4 linked regions of the Saccharomyces cerevisiae S288C genome follow. The gene in region 1 interacts genetically with each later gene. Each region holds a gene or a part of one and is shown in the gene's direction. Other genes may lie near its edges. The genes, in order: FKS1, UBP3, CRZ1 and FPS1.

Region 1 (7,871 bases):
AATGTTTGATGCAGATTTGAAATGCTACAATGACAAGTACATAATTTGCAAGCTAAAGGGTCAGTATCCCTCCACAAATATAGTGGACATAATGTGCCGTTTGAAGCATTTTTCCAATTCTATTTTGGAAACTTTCAAATTCGGAATCGAGCTAAAAGAACAAGATCAATGCCACAATAGAAACACTATTATCAACTACGTTCTTTTCAGTAGAGTATTTTCAACGATTGTTTTAGAGATTCAAAAATGCTTTATCTTGATCGTTAAGTTCATGTATTCTGTCAATTTTTTAGAAAAATTTTCCGATGAAGTATTTTTGTCATTTATTGAAATTCTCATAAAAATTGTCTTTGAGCACCAGATTCCGCAGTTATTTTTGGGAATTGATGAAATTATTCAACTCTGGTTAAAGAACAATGAAGGAAAACGGCAACAACTCTTGAGCGCTTGGTGCAACGGAACTGTTCAAGATATGAAGCAAAGCCAACAAAGAGAGTCCTCAAACGCAGAATCTGAATCAATCACTTCAAGTACAGAAGAGGACGAAGAAGGCCTCCAATTCAATAAATGGGATGTGATTGAACCATTTATTGATAATATCAAGGCTTTGAATCAATCAAAATCCCATATGTGACGCAGCGATAAAACCGCGGCATGCAAACATCTACACAATTAGCAAGGGCAATCCATATTTTGTCTTTTCGCGCCCTGGAAAGGCCTAAGTAATGTCGTAAACGCATTCTATCTGTACTTCAACTCTCCTCTGTGCATTGGTTTGTGCAAATCACATTTTACGATACTGCCAGATTTATGCAAAAAGAGAAAACCAAGGGACCAGAACAAAGCAAAATTACGATAAACTTCGAATTCCTTCGTGCTTGACTAAGACAAAGGGATGGACGTAGCGATTTTTAGCGGGCCAAGAACTGGTTCCGAAAAAGCACAGGTACACCGAACCCTCAGCTAAGGAGGGACAGCACCGATGCGGAAGGACAAACTTTCTTTTTGCCTATCACAGTATCTTATCGAGCTAACTATTTTCGACACACATGAAAAAGCAGAAATATTAACGAAAAAGAAAAGAAAGACCATGTCATGTACGGGCAATCAGAATCTGTAACAAGCGCCATTTTTTTTTCTGTATCGGGCCCTCCTTACTGCTCTCCTTCCGTGTAACGCGTTATGAAACTCTAATCCTACTATCGGCGACTCTCTCGAAATTTTTCTTAACGCGTCCTTGTACTGCGTCTAACGCTTTTGCCACTTGGATTTCTATTATAGGAAATAGTCTCACTTACTGGGCGACGAATTTTCGCGTTTTGATGAAGCACAGGAAGAATTTCTTTTTTTTTTGGCTTCTTCTGGTTCCGTTTTTTACGCGCACAAATCTAAAAAAAGAAATAATTATAACCTAGTCTCGAAAATTTTCATCGATCCATTCGTTCCTTTTTTTCGATTTTTTCAGATCAAAATTCTTGTTTCTTTCTTTGTCTTAGTTTATATTAAAAGATATTTTGATTTTACTCCTGAACTATTTATTCTTTCTAAGAAGGCCAGAACACTACAGCTGTTTTAACCGACTACGAAGTTCTCCATTCTCGAACACTAGCCTTCATTTACCAAACAGGAACTAGCGTATATCATTAGTCCTTATTCGAAAAGAGATTGGTAGATATTTATTGTAGTTTGTGAGAAGGAGAAAATACTGTCATTGGACTGATAGTTAGAGGACATTAACCTCTCTTACGTTCGCTCAAAAAAATTAAAATAAGCAAGTAGCTGAAATCAAGTCTTTCATACAACGGTCAGACCATGAACACTGATCAACAACCTTATCAGGGCCAAACGGACTATACCCAGGGACCAGGTAACGGGCAAAGTCAGGAACAAGACTATGACCAATATGGCCAGCCTTTGTATCCTTCACAAGCTGATGGTTACTACGATCCAAATGTCGCTGCTGGTACTGAAGCTGATATGTATGGTCAACAACCACCAAACGAGTCTTACGACCAAGACTACACAAACGGTGAATACTATGGTCAACCGCCAAATATGGCTGCTCAAGACGGTGAAAACTTCTCGGATTTTAGCAGTTACGGCCCTCCTGGAACACCTGGATATGATAGCTATGGTGGTCAGTATACCGCTTCTCAAATGAGTTATGGAGAACCAAATTCGTCGGGTACCTCGACTCCAATTTACGGTAATTATGACCCAAATGCTATCGCTATGGCTTTGCCAAATGAACCTTATCCCGCTTGGACTGCTGACTCTCAATCTCCCGTTTCGATCGAGCAAATCGAAGATATCTTTATTGATTTGACCAACAGACTCGGGTTCCAAAGAGACTCCATGAGAAATATGTTTGATCATTTTATGGTTCTCTTGGACTCTAGGTCCTCGAGAATGTCTCCTGATCAAGCTTTACTATCTTTACATGCCGACTACATTGGTGGCGATACTGCTAACTATAAAAAATGGTATTTTGCTGCTCAGTTAGATATGGATGATGAAATTGGTTTTAGAAATATGAGTCTTGGAAAACTCTCAAGGAAGGCAAGAAAAGCTAAGAAGAAAAACAAGAAAGCAATGGAAGAGGCCAATCCCGAAGACACTGAAGAAACTTTAAACAAAATTGAAGGCGACAACTCCCTAGAGGCTGCTGATTTTAGATGGAAGGCCAAGATGAACCAGTTGTCTCCCCTGGAAAGAGTTCGTCATATCGCCTTATATCTGTTATGTTGGGGTGAAGCTAATCAAGTCAGATTCACTGCTGAATGTTTATGTTTTATCTACAAGTGTGCTCTTGACTACTTGGATTCCCCTCTTTGCCAACAACGCCAAGAACCTATGCCAGAAGGTGATTTCTTGAATAGAGTCATTACGCCAATTTATCATTTCATCAGAAATCAAGTTTATGAAATTGTTGATGGTCGTTTTGTCAAGCGTGAAAGAGATCATAACAAAATTGTCGGTTATGATGATTTAAACCAATTGTTCTGGTATCCAGAAGGTATTGCAAAGATTGTTCTTGAAGATGGAACAAAATTGATAGAACTCCCATTGGAAGAACGTTATTTAAGATTAGGCGATGTCGTCTGGGATGATGTATTCTTCAAAACATATAAAGAGACCCGTACTTGGTTACATTTGGTCACCAACTTCAACCGTATTTGGGTTATGCATATCTCCATTTTTTGGATGTACTTTGCATATAATTCACCAACATTTTACACTCATAACTATCAACAATTGGTCGACAACCAACCTTTGGCTGCTTACAAGTGGGCATCTTGCGCATTAGGTGGTACTGTCGCAAGTTTGATTCAAATTGTCGCTACTTTGTGTGAATGGTCATTCGTTCCAAGAAAATGGGCTGGTGCTCAACATCTATCTCGTAGATTCTGGTTTTTATGCATCATCTTTGGTATTAATTTGGGTCCTATTATTTTTGTTTTTGCTTACGACAAAGATACAGTCTACTCCACTGCTGCACACGTTGTTGCTGCTGTTATGTTCTTTGTTGCGGTTGCTACCATCATATTCTTCTCCATTATGCCATTGGGGGGGTTGTTTACGTCATATATGAAAAAATCTACAAGGCGTTATGTTGCATCTCAAACATTCACTGCTGCATTTGCCCCTCTACATGGGTTAGATAGATGGATGTCCTATTTAGTTTGGGTTACTGTTTTTGCTGCCAAATATTCAGAATCGTACTACTTTTTAGTTTTATCTTTGAGAGATCCAATTAGAATTTTGTCCACCACTGCAATGAGGTGTACAGGTGAATACTGGTGGGGTGCGGTACTTTGTAAAGTGCAACCCAAGATTGTCTTAGGTTTGGTTATCGCTACCGACTTCATTCTTTTCTTCTTGGATACCTACTTATGGTACATTATTGTGAATACCATTTTCTCTGTTGGGAAATCTTTCTATTTAGGTATTTCTATCTTAACACCATGGAGAAATATCTTCACAAGATTGCCAAAAAGAATATACTCCAAGATTTTGGCTACTACTGATATGGAAATTAAATACAAACCAAAGGTTTTGATTTCTCAAGTATGGAATGCCATCATTATTTCAATGTACAGAGAACATCTCTTAGCCATCGACCATGTACAAAAATTACTATATCATCAAGTTCCATCTGAAATCGAAGGTAAAAGAACTTTGAGAGCTCCTACCTTCTTTGTTTCTCAAGATGACAATAATTTTGAGACTGAATTTTTCCCTAGGGATTCAGAGGCTGAGCGTCGTATTTCTTTCTTTGCTCAATCTTTGTCTACTCCAATTCCCGAACCACTTCCAGTTGATAACATGCCAACGTTCACAGTATTGACTCCTCACTACGCGGAAAGAATTCTGCTGTCATTAAGAGAAATTATTCGTGAAGATGACCAATTTTCTAGAGTTACTCTTTTAGAATATCTAAAACAATTACATCCCGTTGAATGGGAATGTTTTGTTAAGGATACTAAGATTTTGGCTGAAGAAACCGCTGCCTATGAAGGAAATGAAAATGAAGCTGAAAAGGAAGATGCTTTGAAATCTCAAATCGATGATTTGCCATTTTATTGTATTGGTTTTAAATCTGCTGCTCCAGAATATACACTTCGTACGAGAATTTGGGCTTCTTTGAGGTCGCAGACTCTATATCGTACCATTTCAGGGTTCATGAATTATTCAAGAGCTATCAAATTACTGTATCGTGTGGAAAATCCTGAAATTGTTCAAATGTTTGGTGGTAATGCTGAAGGCTTAGAAAGAGAGCTAGAAAAGATGGCAAGAAGAAAGTTTAAATTTTTGGTCTCTATGCAGAGATTGGCTAAATTCAAACCACATGAACTGGAAAATGCTGAGTTTTTGTTGAGAGCTTACCCAGACTTACAAATTGCCTACTTGGATGAAGAGCCACCTTTGACTGAAGGTGAGGAGCCAAGAATCTATTCCGCTTTGATTGATGGACATTGTGAAATTCTAGATAATGGTCGTAGACGTCCCAAGTTTAGAGTTCAATTATCTGGTAACCCAATTCTTGGTGACGGTAAATCTGATAACCAAAACCATGCTTTGATTTTTTACAGAGGTGAATACATTCAATTAATTGATGCCAACCAAGATAACTACTTGGAAGAATGTCTGAAGATTAGATCTGTATTGGCTGAATTTGAGGAATTGAACGTTGAACAAGTTAATCCATATGCTCCCGGTTTAAGGTATGAGGAGCAAACAACTAATCATCCTGTTGCTATTGTTGGTGCCAGAGAATACATTTTCTCTGAAAACTCTGGTGTGCTGGGTGATGTGGCCGCTGGTAAAGAACAAACTTTTGGTACATTATTTGCGCGTACTTTATCTCAAATTGGTGGTAAATTGCATTATGGTCATCCGGATTTCATTAATGCTACGTTTATGACCACTAGAGGTGGTGTTTCCAAAGCACAAAAGGGTTTGCATTTAAACGAAGATATTTATGCTGGTATGAATGCTATGCTTCGTGGTGGTCGTATCAAGCATTGTGAGTATTATCAATGTGGTAAAGGTAGAGATTTGGGTTTCGGTACAATTCTAAATTTCACTACTAAGATTGGTGCTGGTATGGGTGAACAAATGTTATCTCGTGAATATTATTATCTGGGTACCCAATTACCAGTGGACCGTTTCCTAACATTCTATTATGCCCATCCTGGTTTCCATTTGAACAACTTGTTCATTCAATTATCTTTGCAAATGTTTATGTTGACTTTGGTGAATTTATCTTCCTTGGCCCATGAATCTATTATGTGTATTTACGATAGGAACAAACCAAAAACAGATGTTTTGGTTCCAATTGGGTGTTACAACTTCCAACCTGCGGTTGATTGGGTGAGACGTTATACATTGTCTATTTTCATTGTTTTCTGGATTGCCTTCGTTCCTATTGTTGTTCAAGAACTAATTGAACGTGGTCTATGGAAAGCCACCCAAAGATTTTTCTGCCACCTATTATCATTATCCCCTATGTTCGAAGTGTTTGCGGGCCAAATCTACTCTTCTGCGTTATTAAGTGATTTAGCAATTGGTGGTGCTCGTTATATATCCACCGGTCGTGGTTTTGCAACTTCTCGTATACCATTTTCAATTTTGTATTCAAGATTTGCAGGATCTGCTATCTACATGGGTGCAAGATCAATGTTAATGTTGCTGTTCGGTACTGTCGCACATTGGCAAGCTCCACTACTGTGGTTTTGGGCCTCTCTATCTTCATTAATTTTTGCGCCTTTCGTTTTCAATCCACATCAGTTTGCTTGGGAAGATTTCTTTTTGGATTACAGGGATTATATCAGATGGTTATCAAGAGGTAATAATCAATATCATAGAAACTCGTGGATTGGTTACGTGAGGATGTCTAGGGCACGTATTACTGGGTTTAAACGTAAACTGGTTGGCGATGAATCTGAGAAAGCTGCTGGTGACGCAAGCAGGGCTCATAGAACCAATTTGATCATGGCTGAAATCATACCCTGTGCAATTTATGCAGCTGGTTGTTTTATTGCCTTCACGTTTATTAATGCTCAAACCGGTGTCAAGACTACTGATGATGATAGGGTGAATTCTGTTTTACGTATCATCATTTGTACCTTGGCGCCAATCGCCGTTAACCTCGGTGTTCTATTCTTCTGTATGGGTATGTCATGCTGCTCTGGTCCCTTATTTGGTATGTGTTGTAAGAAGACAGGTTCTGTAATGGCTGGAATTGCCCACGGTGTTGCTGTTATTGTCCACATTGCCTTTTTCATTGTCATGTGGGTTTTGGAGAGCTTCAACTTTGTTAGAATGTTAATCGGAGTCGTTACTTGTATCCAATGTCAAAGACTCATTTTTCATTGCATGACAGCGTTAATGTTGACTCGTGAATTTAAAAACGATCATGCCAATACAGCCTTCTGGACTGGTAAGTGGTATGGTAAAGGTATGGGTTACATGGCTTGGACCCAGCCAAGTAGAGAATTAACCGCCAAGGTAATTGAGCTTTCAGAATTTGCAGCTGATTTTGTTCTAGGTCATGTGATTTTAATCTGTCAACTGCCACTCATTATAATCCCAAAAATAGATAAATTCCACTCGATTATGCTATTCTGGCTAAAGCCCTCTCGTCAAATTCGTCCCCCAATTTACTCTCTGAAGCAAACTCGTTTGCGTAAGCGTATGGTCAAGAAGTACTGCTCTTTGTACTTTTTAGTATTGGCTATTTTTGCAGGATGCATTATTGGTCCTGCTGTAGCCTCTGCTAAGATCCACAAACACATTGGAGATTCATTGGATGGCGTTGTTCACAATCTATTCCAACCAATAAATACAACCAATAATGACACTGGTTCCCAAATGTCAACTTATCAAAGTCACTACTATACTCATACGCCATCATTAAAGACCTGGTCAACTATAAAATAATACAATCAATACTTGCTTGAACGCTTGATTTTACTGATATTCTATCCAAAAGCAAGTAGACCAGAAACTCTCAAGATGTTGCAAATACCGTTCGATGTTTTTGGTTTAGATTGTTTTAATGTTGATGCTTTTTTACTTATTTTTGGAAGCGTCTTTTTAATTTAGTTTTATATTATAGGTATATGAATGTGTTTATGCCAATAAGGGTTTTTTTGTACAGTTATGTGATTATAAACAGTCTTTTGTCTAGTTTTTTTCACCAGTATCGGCCTCTATTTATAAAAAACGGAGCAGCTTTCGGTGTCAGTAATTCTGAAAAAATTTGTGTCACTCTGATTGTAAATGAATTAATTTAGCTAGATAGTTGCGAGCCCCAACGAGAAGATTGTCAGACAAAGACAACATTCAACAACCTACATCCGTTACTA
Region 2 (5,268 bases), on another chromosome or scaffold:
CACAATGCACTCCACGGCGCTCAGGGAAAAGTGGAAGGTATTCTTGCAGGAGATGGATACGCTACCAGGGCAGCCGCCATTAAGGCTGCGCGACTTCCCGCAAATGACCAAGGCTATGGGCATAGCATTGATGCAGCAAGATGAGCAAGCAGCTGCCCTGGCGTTGTTTGGACGACAGCCCCTAGTGATAAAGAACGAATGGTCACTACCGCTACTACTGGCTGGTGTCCTTTGGCATGTTCCCGGCCCAGCGCAGGCGCGACGTGTGCTGGCGGAGTTCCGTCAAAGTTATCGCGGGCTGCCGCTGCTGGATGCCGAACTAGTGATAAAGAGAAGAGGATTTGAAATCAACACATAAATCTGGGTGGAGCATCGCTGTAACAAGGAACAACGCGTGCTAGCAAGCGGTAATGAAATACAAGGAAATCAATTTCTTCAAGGGCCATCCGAGCTCGAGGTTGCTGCCTCGAGAAGCAGTAATTCAAGCGACTGCGGCTATATTGGGGCCCGAGACCAGGGAGTACGATAACGACCCCTATAACAGGCATCCGCTGACGTACGGTTCGGACGAAGGTGCCCTGTGGGTGCGAGAGCAGATTTGTACGTTTCTGAATGATCAGCTGTTTAAGTTCGAAAATGGGGCTCGGAGCAGGACACGGGCAGACTATTTGAATCTGAATAGCGGCGCTTCGTATGGCATGCTGAACATCCTTCTGCAAACAACCTTGCCACATAACGGGTATACCAGGCAGGCGTTCATCATCACGCCAACATATTTCTTGATCAACAATTGCTTCACAGATGCGGGATTCAAGGGGAAAATGACCGCCATCAACGAGCAGGGCCACGACTCGATTGATTTCGAGTCGTTGATTTCTGCCCTTGAGCAGCACGAGGCGGAGCCGCAGCCCCATAGTACCACAGAGATGATTCAGGGGCCAAAGTTGACCAAGAAGGTCTACAGGTACGTTATGTACTGCATCCCGACGTTTGCAAACCCATCGGGAAACACATACTCGCTTGAGACCAGACGCAGACTTATCGACATCGCTCGGAAGTACGACATGCTGATAATCACTGATGACGTGTACGATATTCTAGATTACACGACGCCCTCAGATGAGCTGCCCTCTCCGCCCCTAAGGATGGTGCACATAGACAGAAGTACAGCGCCCTCCGGTGAGGACTCGTTCGGGAATACAGTGTCCAACGCAACTTTCTCCAAGCTGATCGCCCCTGGGCTCAGATTTGGATACCATGAGTCAATCAACGCGAATCTCGCCAGACAGCTATCTAAAGGTGGTGCAAACGTCTCTGGCGGAACTCCCTCACAACTGAACTCCATGATCGTGGGTGAGATGCTGCGTAGTGGTGCCGCCCAGAGATGCATTGCACATCTGAGATCCGTATACTCCGAGAGGGCCACTGTCTTGACCTCGGCGCTTAAGAAATACATGCCCCTAGGAACCGAGATTATGCCATTGAAGGGCGGCTATTTTACTTGGATCACTCTCCCACCAGCGTACAATGCCATGGAGATATCCACTATTCTTGCCAAGAAATTTAATGTCATCCTTGCCGACGGCTCCAATTTCGAGGTCATCGGCGATGAGAAAAACTGGGGTCAGTCATGCTTTAGGCTTTCTATTAGTTTCTTAGAAGTTGATGATATCGACAGGGGCATTGAGCTGTTTGGTGCTGTTTGCAAATCTCATGCGATCACCAATAACATAACTATGTAGAAGGAATACGTATATAGGTGAACGGTAATAAGAGGGTAATTTTTCTACGGGCAAAGGCAAGGAAGAAAAAGAAAAAGAAGGAAAAAAATATAATGTGATAAAACAAACAAGCAGCGAAAAAGCGAAAGGGAAGAGAAGTGTTTCTAGAGAAGAAAGTCATTTTAATAGTAAGTCAGACTCGTCTGCTACCATCATCCAGGTACCGCTTTCCTTTCCATCATCATTAAAAAAAATGAACATGCAAGACGCTAACAAAGAAGAGTCGTACTCGATGTACCCGAAAACCTCTTCTCCACCACCACCTACGCCAACCAATATGCAGATTCCTATTTATCAAGCGCCTTTGCAGATGTACGGCTACACTCAGGCCCCATATCTATACCCCACACAAATACCTGCCTATTCGTTTAATATGGTCAACCAAAACCAGCCAATCTACCATCAAAGTGGCAGCCCACATCACTTGCCTCCGCAAAACAATATTAACGGCGGAAGCACTACCAATAACAACAACATTAACAAGAAGAAGTGGCACTCTAATGGCATTACCAATAACAATGGAAGCAGCGGTAATCAAGGCGCCAACTCTAGCGGTAGCGGCATGAGCTACAACAAATCCCACACCTACCATCACAATTACTCTAACAATCATATCCCCATGATGGCCTCTCCAAACAGTGGCAGCAATGCGGGCATGAAAAAACAGACCAACTCTTCCAACGGCAACGGTTCTTCGGCTACTTCACCATCGTACTCTTCCTACAACTCTTCTTCACAGTATGATTTATACAAGTTTGATGTCACTAAATTAAAGAATCTCAAGGAAAATTCATCAAACTTGATTCAATTGCCACTGTTCATAAACACTACGGAAGCAGAATTTGCTGCGGCAAGTGTCCAAAGGTACGAATTAAACATGAAGGCTTTGAACCTAAACTCTGAAAGCTTAGAGAACTCATCTGTAGAAAAGAGCTCTGCCCATCATCACACAAAAAGCCATAGTATACCAAAGCATAATGAGGAAGTAAAGACAGAAACACATGGGGAAGAAGAAGATGCTCATGATAAAAAACCACATGCGAGCAAAGATGCGCACGAGCTTAAAAAGAAAACTGAAGTAAAGAAAGAGGATGCTAAGCAAGACCGTAACGAAAAAGTTATACAGGAACCTCAAGCTACTGTTTTACCTGTAGTGGATAAGAAGGAACCAGAGGAATCTGTTGAAGAAAATACTTCCAAGACATCTTCACCTTCACCATCTCCTCCAGCAGCAAAATCCTGGTCCGCCATAGCATCAGATGCGATTAAAAGTAGACAAGCTAGTAACAAAACAGTCTCCGGATCGATGGTCACTAAAACACCAATTTCTGGTACGACCGCAGGCGTTTCATCAACAAACATGGCTGCGGCGACTATAGGTAAATCCAGCTCTCCCCTGTTGTCCAAGCAGCCTCAGAAAAAGGATAAAAAATACGTTCCACCTTCTACAAAGGGTATTGAGCCACTGGGTTCGATTGCGTTAAGAATGTGTTTTGATCCCGATTTCATTAGTTACGTTTTACGGAATAAAGATGTTGAAAACAAAATACCAGTCCATTCCATTATTCCAAGAGGCATAATTAACAGAGCCAACATTTGTTTTATGAGTTCTGTGTTACAAGTGTTACTCTACTGTAAGCCATTTATTGATGTAATTAACGTTCTCAGTACACGGAATACCAATTCAAGAGTCGGCACATCATCCTGTAAATTATTAGATGCTTGTTTGACTATGTATAAGCAATTCGATAAGGAAACCTATGAGAAAAAATTCCTAGAGAATGCTGATGATGCTGAAAAAACCACGGAAAGTGATGCAAAAAAATCATCAAAATCCAAGAGTTTCCAACACTGCGCCACTGCCGATGCTGTCAAACCTGACGAATTTTACAAAACTTTGTCTACTATACCGAAGTTCAAAGACTTGCAATGGGGCCATCAGGAAGACGCAGAAGAATTTTTGACCCACTTATTGGACCAATTACACGAGGAATTAATTTCTGCAATTGATGGCTTAACCGATAATGAAATTCAAAATATGCTGCAAAGTATTAATGATGAACAATTGAAAGTTTTCTTTATTAGAAATTTGTCACGTTATGGAAAAGCAGAGTTTATCAAAAATGCTAGTCCTAGACTGAAGGAGTTGATAGAAAAATATGGCGTGATCAATGATGACTCTACCGAAGAAAATGGTTGGCATGAAGTGAGCGGATCTAGCAAAAGAGGCAAGAAAACTAAGACCGCTGCCAAGAGGACTGTCGAGATTGTTCCATCACCAATCTCCAAACTTTTCGGTGGCCAGTTCAGATCTGTGTTAGATATACCGAACAATAAGGAATCTCAATCGATTACACTCGATCCGTTCCAAACAATTCAATTGGACATTTCAGATGCTGGTGTGAATGATCTAGAAACTGCATTCAAAAAATTTAGTGAATACGAATTGCTACCCTTTAAGTCCTCGTCAGGGAATGATGTCGAGGCCAAGAAGCAGACTTTTATTGATAAATTGCCGCAAGTTCTTTTAATCCAATTCAAAAGATTCTCATTCATAAATAATGTGAACAAAGACAACGCAATGACGAACTATAACGCGTACAATGGACGTATTGAGAAGATCAGGAAAAAAATTAAATATGGTCACGAGTTAATCATACCTGAAGAATCAATGTCTTCCATAACATTGAAAAACAACACCTCAGGGATTGATGATAGAAGATATAAGCTAACCGGAGTTATATACCATCATGGGGTAAGTTCCGATGGCGGTCATTACACAGCGGATGTTTATCATAGCGAGCACAACAAATGGTATAGAATAGATGATGTAAATATTACCGAACTAGAGGACGATGACGTTTTGAAAGGTGGCGAAGAAGCTTCTGATTCGAGGACTGCCTATATTTTAATGTATCAAAAGAGAAATTAAGACGGGGGGTGGTATTATAGACAAAATACATAAAAAATAATATAGCAATAATACAATACAATACAATACAATACGATAGTGAGCACGATTTTAAAAAAGAAATAGAGACAGACAGAGAAACAGAGTTACACTTTATGCTTGGCATATTTAAAAAATGATTTCGCCCAGGATCGAACTGGGGACGTTCTGCGTGTTAAGCAGATGCCATAACCGACTAGACCACGAAACCAATTATTTCTTGGAGATGAACATTTAAGAAACAAATACCTTGTAGAAGGAATGTGAATTTCAAAATATTATGGCCTTTGGCAACAATGGAATCACAACAATTATCACAAAACTCATACATCTCTTAAGATTCATTTCTTACTTTAAGTAATCATCCAAATTTAGCCAAAGTTTGATTTTACCTAAAAAAAGCAGAGGATTCCCGATTTCAATCATATGTGCACAGACGATGAGTCCAACACGTTATCGTTAACATAGTGCTCAATATTGCCACTGCGCTTCGCAGGAGCATATTTCGTATACGCCAAGCCCAAGGAGGGTTTTGTC
Region 3 (4,469 bases), on another chromosome or scaffold:
TGTAAATGTCATTGTCGAACACGCTTAGCCGCGCAATCTCAAAATTACTCCAGAAATGGCATAGATTGTACTCTTCATTGAAAAATTTGTCTTCTACGATATGCTTCCTAGAGCGAGCCTTATGTATCAAATTCATTATTCCCTCTTTGTCATCATTTATCTGTTGGAAATCATCACCCTTTTTCAAAAGCTGCTCGATGGCTATCTTTTCGGATATCTTAGCCTTGGCCTGAAAATCATAGTTGATCCAGTCCCGTAACTCCGGATCATCGGATTCAAAAATGTCGTAATCCTTTGTAAATAGTTTCCATAATGACCCAAGCGTAACGCCTTTTTGACTGATAAAGCTTTTAGTGTGTCTAAACAAATTTGGGACTGTCCAATACAATTCGGGGATGATGATCGTAAATCCATATTTCTTATTAGTTCGGAGCATCTCCAAAAAGGGATCGTAGGTAATATCACAGAAAAACTCAACATCGGGTTCCAATCTCCAATACCATTCGTACTTCTGTACTAGCGGGTGCTTGTAAAATAATCCTGAATAAAACCGGCACATCTTATGATATGATTCTAAGTTTCCGTAAAGTATGCTTCTATCACCTTGATCCTCAATTGCGTTGTAGAACTCGAACGTATCCTTTACGTCACTGGGAAAATTCCAAGATATCTCATCGATAGTGCCAAATTCCACCAGCGCGCCCACTGTAACATCACGTACTTTTGCTTTGAAGTCCTCTTCAAACGGCTGGTCATTTAAGAACACATATGGATAGTGGAACCACTGATTGAAATGCTCTTCTATACTGTTGATAGTCTTGATAACATCTTCTAGCTCCCCGTTCCTTGTTAGCATGACAAACGAGGCATTCTGCTTGATGTACGATGGATTCAACAAATAGTCCTGAGTATTCACACAATTCGAATAAAAGGGTCTGTCCCTCTTCGTCGCAAGATCCATCTTGGAAAACGGAAGAAAATTTCCCATAGTTCCGTCTACGGATGCAGGCTCAGATACAAGTACCACATACATGGTTATGACGAAGGCAATCAGGATGCACGTCGCCGTAAGATTGCAATGGATACATCCCAGAAATGCATTTATCGTCCTTCTTATTAGCAACATCTGCTACCTTATGACGATGTGCCGTATTGAGACACATTTATTGATGACACCTCCATTGAACAAGACTATTTGTGCACGGAAGCACTCATATCTACTACTTCGCATTTTTTTGAAGACCCTTTCTCGAATGCCTGCCCAAATTTTTCAATTTTCTTGGCATCATCCACACACCGCATGCTTAAAGTGTACTATCCAAAAAATGAGAGAAAAAGCAAATACCTAAAAGCACCCCACCTCTTCCATATCCCACGTAATGGCAATTGGCATATATGCTCGGCAAGGGAAATTACTGGTCGTAATATAGTGCAACATGCAACTTGCCAGGCGCACTATAGTCACATCTTATTATGTTAGCAGTTGAGCTCCAGCTTTGACTGCACTTTAGCTTAGTTGCAACTTCGCCCCTCTGTTGGGGGCTGAAAAGTACATCCGCGCATTTAACAATTGCTAAGCTATCTTGAATAACATTATACTAATTAATATCTATAGAAGCAGAATGTCTACTACGTCGAGGACCCTACCCCTGTATTTGTGCCTTGCATGAGCGAGCTATATATCAGCGATACGTTTTTTTGTTTTCCTTTCGACCTTCTTGCCTACCCTCTCACTTTTCCCACCTGAATTTTTTTTATCATATTAGTCCGATATTGAGTTTATAAACCTTGTGAAGTGCTAGATAAAGTACAATCAAAAGAGCAGGCAATAGCCATCACAGCAGTTTAGTACGATTATACACTCTGAACGCGAGTAAAACTAGGTTGTATTTTTAGTCTCGATTGGAAGTTTCGTCAGACAGTACAAGGAAGATGTCATTCAGCAACGGAAATATGGCTTCCTACATGACTAGTAGTAATGGAGAGGAGCAAAGTATAAACAACAAAAACGATATAGACGATAACAGCGCTTACAGACGTAATAATTTCAGGAATAGTAGCAATTCAGGATCACATACGTTCCAATTATCGGACTTGGACTTAGATGTGGATATGAGGATGGATTCCGCCAATTCATCGGAGAAAATATCAAAGAACCTTTCCTCTGGCATCCCGGACTCATTTGATTCTAACGTGAACAGCTTGCTGTCTCCGTCAAGCGGTTCTTATTCTGCAGATTTGAATTACCAAAGTCTATACAAACCAGATCTTCCACAGCAACAGTTACAACAGCAACAGTTACAACAGCAACAGCAACAGCAACAGCAACAACAACAGCAACAGCAGAAGCAAACACCAACTTTAAAAGTCGAACAATCTGATACATTTCAGTGGGACGATATCTTAACACCTGCTGATAATCAACATCGGCCATCCCTCACAAACCAGTTTTTATCTCCAAGATCTAATTACGATGGTACCACTAGGAGCTCGGGCATTGACTCCAATTATAGCGATACAGAATCAAACTATCATACGCCTTATTTGTATCCACAGGACTTAGTTTCTTCACCTGCGATGTCTCACTTAACCGCGAATAACGATGATTTTGACGATCTTTTGAGCGTCGCATCTATGAACTCAAATTATTTACTGCCCGTAAATTCACATGGTTATAAACATATTTCAAACCTTGATGAGTTGGATGACTTGCTATCTTTAACATATTCAGACAATAACCTTTTATCAGCATCAAACAACAGTGATTTCAACAACAGTAATAACGGAATTATTAATACCGCTGACACTCAAAACAGTACCATTGCCATTAATAAAAGTAAAGTCGGTACTAACCAAAAGATGTTATTGACTATTCCAACTTCTTCCACACCTTCTCCTTCCACTCATGCTGCCCCGGTAACACCCATCATTTCTATACAGGAATTCAATGAGGGACACTTCCCAGTTAAAAACGAAGATGACGGAACGTTACAACTAAAAGTTCGGGATAACGAAAGTTATAGCGCTACTAACAATAACAATCTACTTCGTCCAGATGATAATGATTACAACAACGAAGCTCTCAGTGATATTGACCGCTCCTTCGAAGATATCATTAACGGTCGAAAATTGAAACTTAAAAAATCAAGAAGAAGATCTTCTCAAACTTCCAATAATAGTTTCACTAGCAGGAGATCCTCGAGATCAAGAAGCATATCTCCCGATGAAAAAGCTAAATCTATAAGTGCAAATAGGGAAAAGTTATTGGAGATGGCAGATCTTTTACCATCCAGTGAAAATGACAATAATCGGGAGCGCTATGACAATGATAGCAAAACTAGCTATAACACCATTAACAGTAGCAATTTTAATGAGGATAATAATAATAACAATTTGTTAACAAGTAAACCAAAAATTGAATCGGGCATTGTCAATATTAAAAATGAACTAGATGACACTAGCAAAGATCTTGGCATACTTCTAGACATAGATAGCTTGGGCCAATTTGAGCAGAAAGTTGGTTTCAAAAATGATGATAATCACGAAAATAACGATAATGGCACATTTTCTGTTAAGAAAAATGACAATCTAGAAAAACTAGACAGTGTAACAAATAATAGGAAAAATCCTGCGAATTTTGCTTGTGATGTATGTGGTAAGAAGTTTACAAGACCTTATAACTTAAAGTCACACTTAAGAACGCATACAAATGAAAGGCCATTTATTTGTTCTATTTGTGGTAAGGCGTTTGCACGTCAACATGATAGAAAGAGACACGAAGATTTGCATACAGGTAAGAAAAGGTATGTATGCGGTGGTAAGCTGAAGGACGGTAAACCCTGGGGTTGTGGCAAAAAGTTTGCAAGAAGTGATGCTCTTGGTAGGCATTTTAAAACTGAAAGTGGTAGAAGATGCATCACTCCCTTGTACGAAGAAGCCAGACAGGAGAAATCGGGACAAGAGAGTTAATTATTTTTGTTTTTTTAAGCTTTGAATAGGAATTTTTTTTTTCTATATAATAAATATGTAATTTCATAATGACAGTGTAGAAATTATGGCTAATCTAATCCATGCAAAGGTATTATTTGGTTATTGTTTTTGTAATGAAATAGTATAAAACAGTGATATTCTTACGGATTAATAGTTTTTACGCCCGTCTGAATTTTCTAAGCTGCCGAAAATAATGGCAAGTAACAAAAAGTTATTGTATGAGGATGCGTTTTACGTGGCAAAAGTTTTGATGCCAAATAGACAAAAGTAGCTCAATTCAACATGACCTCATCATCTGGTGTTGATAATGAGATTTCCTTAGACAGCCCGATGCCAATTTTCAATGAGAGTTCTACTTTAAAGCCAATTAGGGTTGCGGGTGTAGTAACAACAGGGACAGATCATATCGACCCTAGCGTACTACAGGCATACTTAGATGATACTATTATGAAATCCATTACTTTGGGGCAGCTAGTGAA
Region 4 (4,110 bases), 760 kb from region 1:
AACAACTTGAAGGTTTCAGCAGCGGTGTTTCTGTCCAAAGTGTATTGGAATTGAGCAATGGTTGGAGGAACCTTCAATCTGATGGACAAGATCTTCTTTTGTCTTTGCAATCTGACATATTCTGGCCATTTGACGTATCTGGACAAGTTTCTCTTTGGTTGGACAGCTTGGCCAATACCGAAGTTCTTTGGAGTAGAGTGAGTCAATGGGTTCTTAGCCTTGTTAGACTTAGTGGACTTAGCACCGAATGGAGCTGGAGCAACTTTCTTACCTGGAGCCATCTTTTCTTTCAGTTATCGTGTTCACTGTATTGAAAAACAGATATAAAAAAAAAAAATAGTGAATTTCAACGTGCGCATCACAATACTTATGTCTTGATAATAATATCGATCCCATACTATTGTCCCTGGATTTTGAGATGGGAAAAGTTTCAATGCGTTCTATCGTATAGTATGATGTATTCAAAAAAAATGCGATAATTCTTTAGTTGTCGGCACTTCGGAAGCCAAAAAAAAAAAAAAAAAAAAAAAAGAAAAAAAGAAAAGGGTGTCTAAGATGTACGGATCTTCATTGGGATGGAAAACAGGCAAGTAAAAAGAATAGTAATTATTACAATGGAGAAGATAAGATAAAGTTAGCGGCAACAAATAAAGAACTCATCAGAGTTCTTGGCTTCTCTATGAGTGAAAGTGTTTCAAAGGTGTTTTTTTATGAGACAACAGTAATTCCCCTCCTTCAGAACAGAGTGTAGTGATTGGCAGTGAAGCTATCCCTCTTTGCCACCCAATTTTGACGGCAGTTCTCATAGCATCTCAAAGCAATAGCAGTGCAAAAGTACATAACCGTAGGAAGGTACGCGGTAGGTATTTGAGTTCGTTGGTGGTTATCCTCCGCAAGGCGCTTCGGCGGTTATTTGTTGATAGTCGAAGAACACCAAAAAAAATGCTGTTATTGCTTTCTCCGTAAACAATAAAACCCGGTAGCGGGATAACGCGGCTGATGCTTTTATTTAGGAAGGAATACTTACATTATCATGAGAACATTGTCAAGGGCATTCTGATACGGGCCTTCCATCGCAAGAAAAAGGCAGCAACGGACTGAGGGACGGAGAGAGTTACGGCATAAGAAGTAGTAGGAGAGCAGAGTGTCATAAAGTTATATTATTCTCGTCCTAAAGTCAATTAGTTCTGTTGCGCTTGACAATATATGTCGTGTAATACCGTCCCTTAGCAGAAGAAAGAAAGACGGATCCATATATGTTAAAATGCTTCAGAGATGTTTCTTTAATGTGCCGTCCAACAAAGGTATCTTCTGTAGCTTCCTCTATTTTCGATCAGATCTCATAGTGAGAAGGCGCAATTCAGTAGTTAAAAGCGGGGAACAGTGTGAATCCGGAGACGGCAAGATTGCCCGGCCCTTTTTGCGGAAAAGATAAAACAAGATATATTGCACTTTTTCCACCAAGAAAAACAGGAAGTGGATTAAAAAATCAACAAAGTATAACGCCTATTGTCCCAATAAGCGTCGGTTGTTCTTCTTTATTATTTTACCAAGTACGCTCGAGGGTACATTCTAATGCATTAAAAGACATGAGTAATCCTCAAAAAGCTCTAAACGACTTTCTGTCCAGTGAATCTGTTCATACACATGATAGTTCTAGGAAACAATCTAATAAGCAGTCATCCGACGAAGGACGCTCTTCATCACAACCTTCACATCATCACTCTGGTGGTACTAACAACAATAATAACAATAATAATAATAATAATAACAGTAACAACAACAACAACGGCAACGATGGGGGAAATGATGACGACTATGATTATGAAATGCAAGATTATAGACCTTCTCCGCAAAGTGCGCGGCCTACTCCCACGTATGTTCCACAATATTCTGTAGAAAGTGGGACTGCTTTCCCGATTCAAGAGGTTATTCCTAGCGCATACATTAACACACAAGATATAAACCATAAAGATAACGGTCCGCCGAGTGCAAGCAGTAATAGAGCATTCAGGCCTAGAGGGCAGACCACAGTGTCGGCCAACGTGCTTAACATTGAAGATTTTTACAAAAATGCAGACGATGCGCATACCATCCCGGAGTCACATTTATCGAGAAGGAGAAGTAGGTCGAGGGCTACGAGTAATGCTGGGCACAGTGCCAATACAGGCGCCACGAATGGCAGGACTACTGGTGCCCAAACTAATATGGAAAGCAATGAATCACCACGTAACGTCCCCATTATGGTGAAGCCAAAGACATTATACCAGAACCCTCAAACACCTACAGTCTTGCCCTCCACATACCATCCAATTAATAAATGGTCTTCCGTCAAAAACACTTATTTGAAGGAATTTTTAGCCGAGTTTATGGGAACAATGGTTATGATTATTTTCGGTAGTGCTGTTGTTTGTCAGGTCAATGTTGCTGGGAAAATACAGCAGGACAATTTCAACGTGGCTTTGGATAACCTTAACGTTACCGGGTCTTCTGCAGAAACGATAGACGCTATGAAGAGTTTAACATCCTTGGTTTCATCCGTTGCGGGCGGTACCTTTGATGATGTGGCATTGGGCTGGGCTGCTGCCGTGGTGATGGGCTATTTCTGCGCTGGTGGTAGTGCCATCTCAGGTGCTCATTTGAATCCGTCTATTACATTAGCCAATTTGGTGTATAGAGGTTTTCCCCTGAAGAAAGTTCCTTATTACTTTGCTGGACAATTGATCGGTGCCTTCACAGGCGCTTTGATCTTGTTTATTTGGTACAAAAGGGTGTTACAAGAGGCATATAGCGATTGGTGGATGAATGAAAGTGTTGCGGGAATGTTTTGCGTTTTTCCAAAGCCTTATCTAAGTTCAGGACGGCAATTTTTTTCCGAATTTTTATGTGGAGCTATGTTACAAGCAGGAACATTTGCGCTGACCGATCCTTATACGTGTTTGTCCTCTGATGTTTTCCCATTGATGATGTTTATTTTGATTTTCATTATCAATGCTTCCATGGCTTATCAGACAGGTACAGCAATGAATTTGGCTCGTGATCTGGGCCCACGTCTTGCACTATATGCAGTTGGATTTGATCATAAAATGCTTTGGGTGCATCATCATCATTTCTTTTGGGTTCCCATGGTAGGCCCATTTATTGGTGCGTTAATGGGGGGGTTGGTTTACGATGTCTGTATTTATCAGGGTCATGAATCTCCAGTCAACTGGTCTTTACCAGTTTATAAGGAAATGATTATGAGAGCCTGGTTTAGAAGGCCTGGTTGGAAGAAGAGAAATAGAGCAAGAAGAACATCGGACCTGAGTGACTTCTCATACAATAACGATGATGATGAGGAATTTGGAGAAAGAATGGCTCTTCAAAAGACAAAGACCAAGTCATCTATTTCAGACAACGAAAATGAAGCAGGAGAAAAGAAAGTGCAATTTAAATCTGTTCAGCGCGGCAAAAGAACGTTTGGTGGTATACCAACAATTCTTGAAGAAGAAGATTCCATTGAAACTGCTTCGCTAGGTGCGACGACGACTGATTCTATTGGGTTATCCGACACATCATCAGAAGATTCGCATTATGGTAATGCTAAGAAGGTAACATGAGAAAACAGACAAGAAAAAGAAACAAATAATATAGACTGATAGAAAAAAATACTGCTTACTACCGCCGGTATAATATATATATATATATATATTTACATAGATGATTGCATAGTGTTTTAAAAAGCTTTCCTAGGTTAAGCTATGAATCTTCATAACCTAACCAACTAAATATGAAAATACTGACCCATCGTCTTAAGTAAGTTGACATGAACTCAGCCTGGTCACCTACTATACATGATGTATCGCATGGATGGAAAGAATACCAAACGCTACCTTCCAGGTTAATGATAGTATCCAAACCTAGTTGGAATTTGCCTTGAACATCAAGCAGCGATTCGATATCAGTTGGGAGCATCAATTTGGTCATTGGAATACCATCTATGCTTTTCTCCTCCCATATTCGCAAAAGTAGTAAGGGCTCGTTATATACTTTTGAATATGTAAGATATAATTCTATATGATTTAGTAATTTATTTTCTATACGCTCAGTATTTTTCTGCAGTTGTCGAGT

What was found.
Region 2: mutations in FKS1 (region 1) and UBP3 together harm fitness more than expected from each alone (negative genetic interaction), as found in Saccharomyces cerevisiae (5 studies listed by BioGRID, with this or other methods).
Region 3: mutations in FKS1 (region 1) and CRZ1 together harm fitness more than expected from each alone (negative genetic interaction), as found in Saccharomyces cerevisiae (5 studies listed by BioGRID, with this or other methods).
Region 4: mutations in FKS1 (region 1) and FPS1 together harm fitness more than expected from each alone (negative genetic interaction), as found in Saccharomyces cerevisiae (5 studies listed by BioGRID, with this or other methods).

The regions. Positions count from the first base shown.
Region 1 is NC_001144.5:808,185-816,055, forward strand, and holds FKS1 (1,3-beta-D-glucan synthase), read left to right. Parts: upstream 1-1,812; coding exon 1,813-7,443; downstream 7,444-7,871. Other genes in the region: SPO77 (Spo77p), read left to right, coding at 1-634; YLR342W-A (uncharacterized protein), read left to right, coding at 7,626-7,799. UniProt on the Saccharomyces cerevisiae protein: Alternate catalytic subunit of the 1,3-beta-glucan synthase (GS) complex. Synthesizes 1,3-beta-glucan, a major structural component of the yeast cell wall. Involved in cell wall synthesis, maintenance and remodeling.
Region 2 is NC_001137.3:469,131-474,398, reverse strand, and holds UBP3 (mRNA-binding ubiquitin-specific protease UBP3), read left to right. Parts: upstream 1-1,974; coding exon 1,975-4,713; downstream 4,714-5,268. Other genes in the region: PET122 (Pet122p), read left to right, coding at 1-358; YER152C (2-aminoadipate transaminase), read left to right, coding at 411-1,742. UniProt on the Saccharomyces cerevisiae protein: Has an ATP-independent isopeptidase activity, cleaving at the C-terminus of the ubiquitin moiety in natural or engineered linear fusion proteins, irrespective of their size or the presence of an N-terminal extension to ubiquitin.
Region 3 is NC_001146.8:577,648-582,116, forward strand, and holds CRZ1 (DNA-binding transcription factor CRZ1), read left to right. Parts: upstream 1-1,932; coding exon 1,933-3,969; downstream 3,970-4,469. Other genes in the region: KTR5 (putative mannosyltransferase), read right to left, coding at 1-1,126; SAM complex subunit SAM50, read left to right, coding at 4,273-4,469. UniProt on the Saccharomyces cerevisiae protein: Involved in the regulation of calcium ion homeostasis. Binds to the calcineurin-dependent response element. Transcriptionally regulates PMC1, PMR1, PMR2A and FKS2.
Region 4 is NC_001144.5:48,349-52,458, forward strand, and holds FPS1 (Fps1p), read left to right. Parts: upstream 1-1,589; coding exon 1,590-3,599; downstream 3,600-4,110. Other genes in the region: 60S ribosomal protein eL8 RPL8B, read right to left, coding at 1-281; ATG10 (E2-like conjugating enzyme), read right to left, coding at 3,739-4,110. UniProt on the Saccharomyces cerevisiae protein: Channel protein for glycerol. Has a role in both glycerol influx and efflux. Plays a role in osmoregulation: under osmotic stress the channel is apparently closed to allow accumulation of glycerol in the cell under hyperosmotic conditions.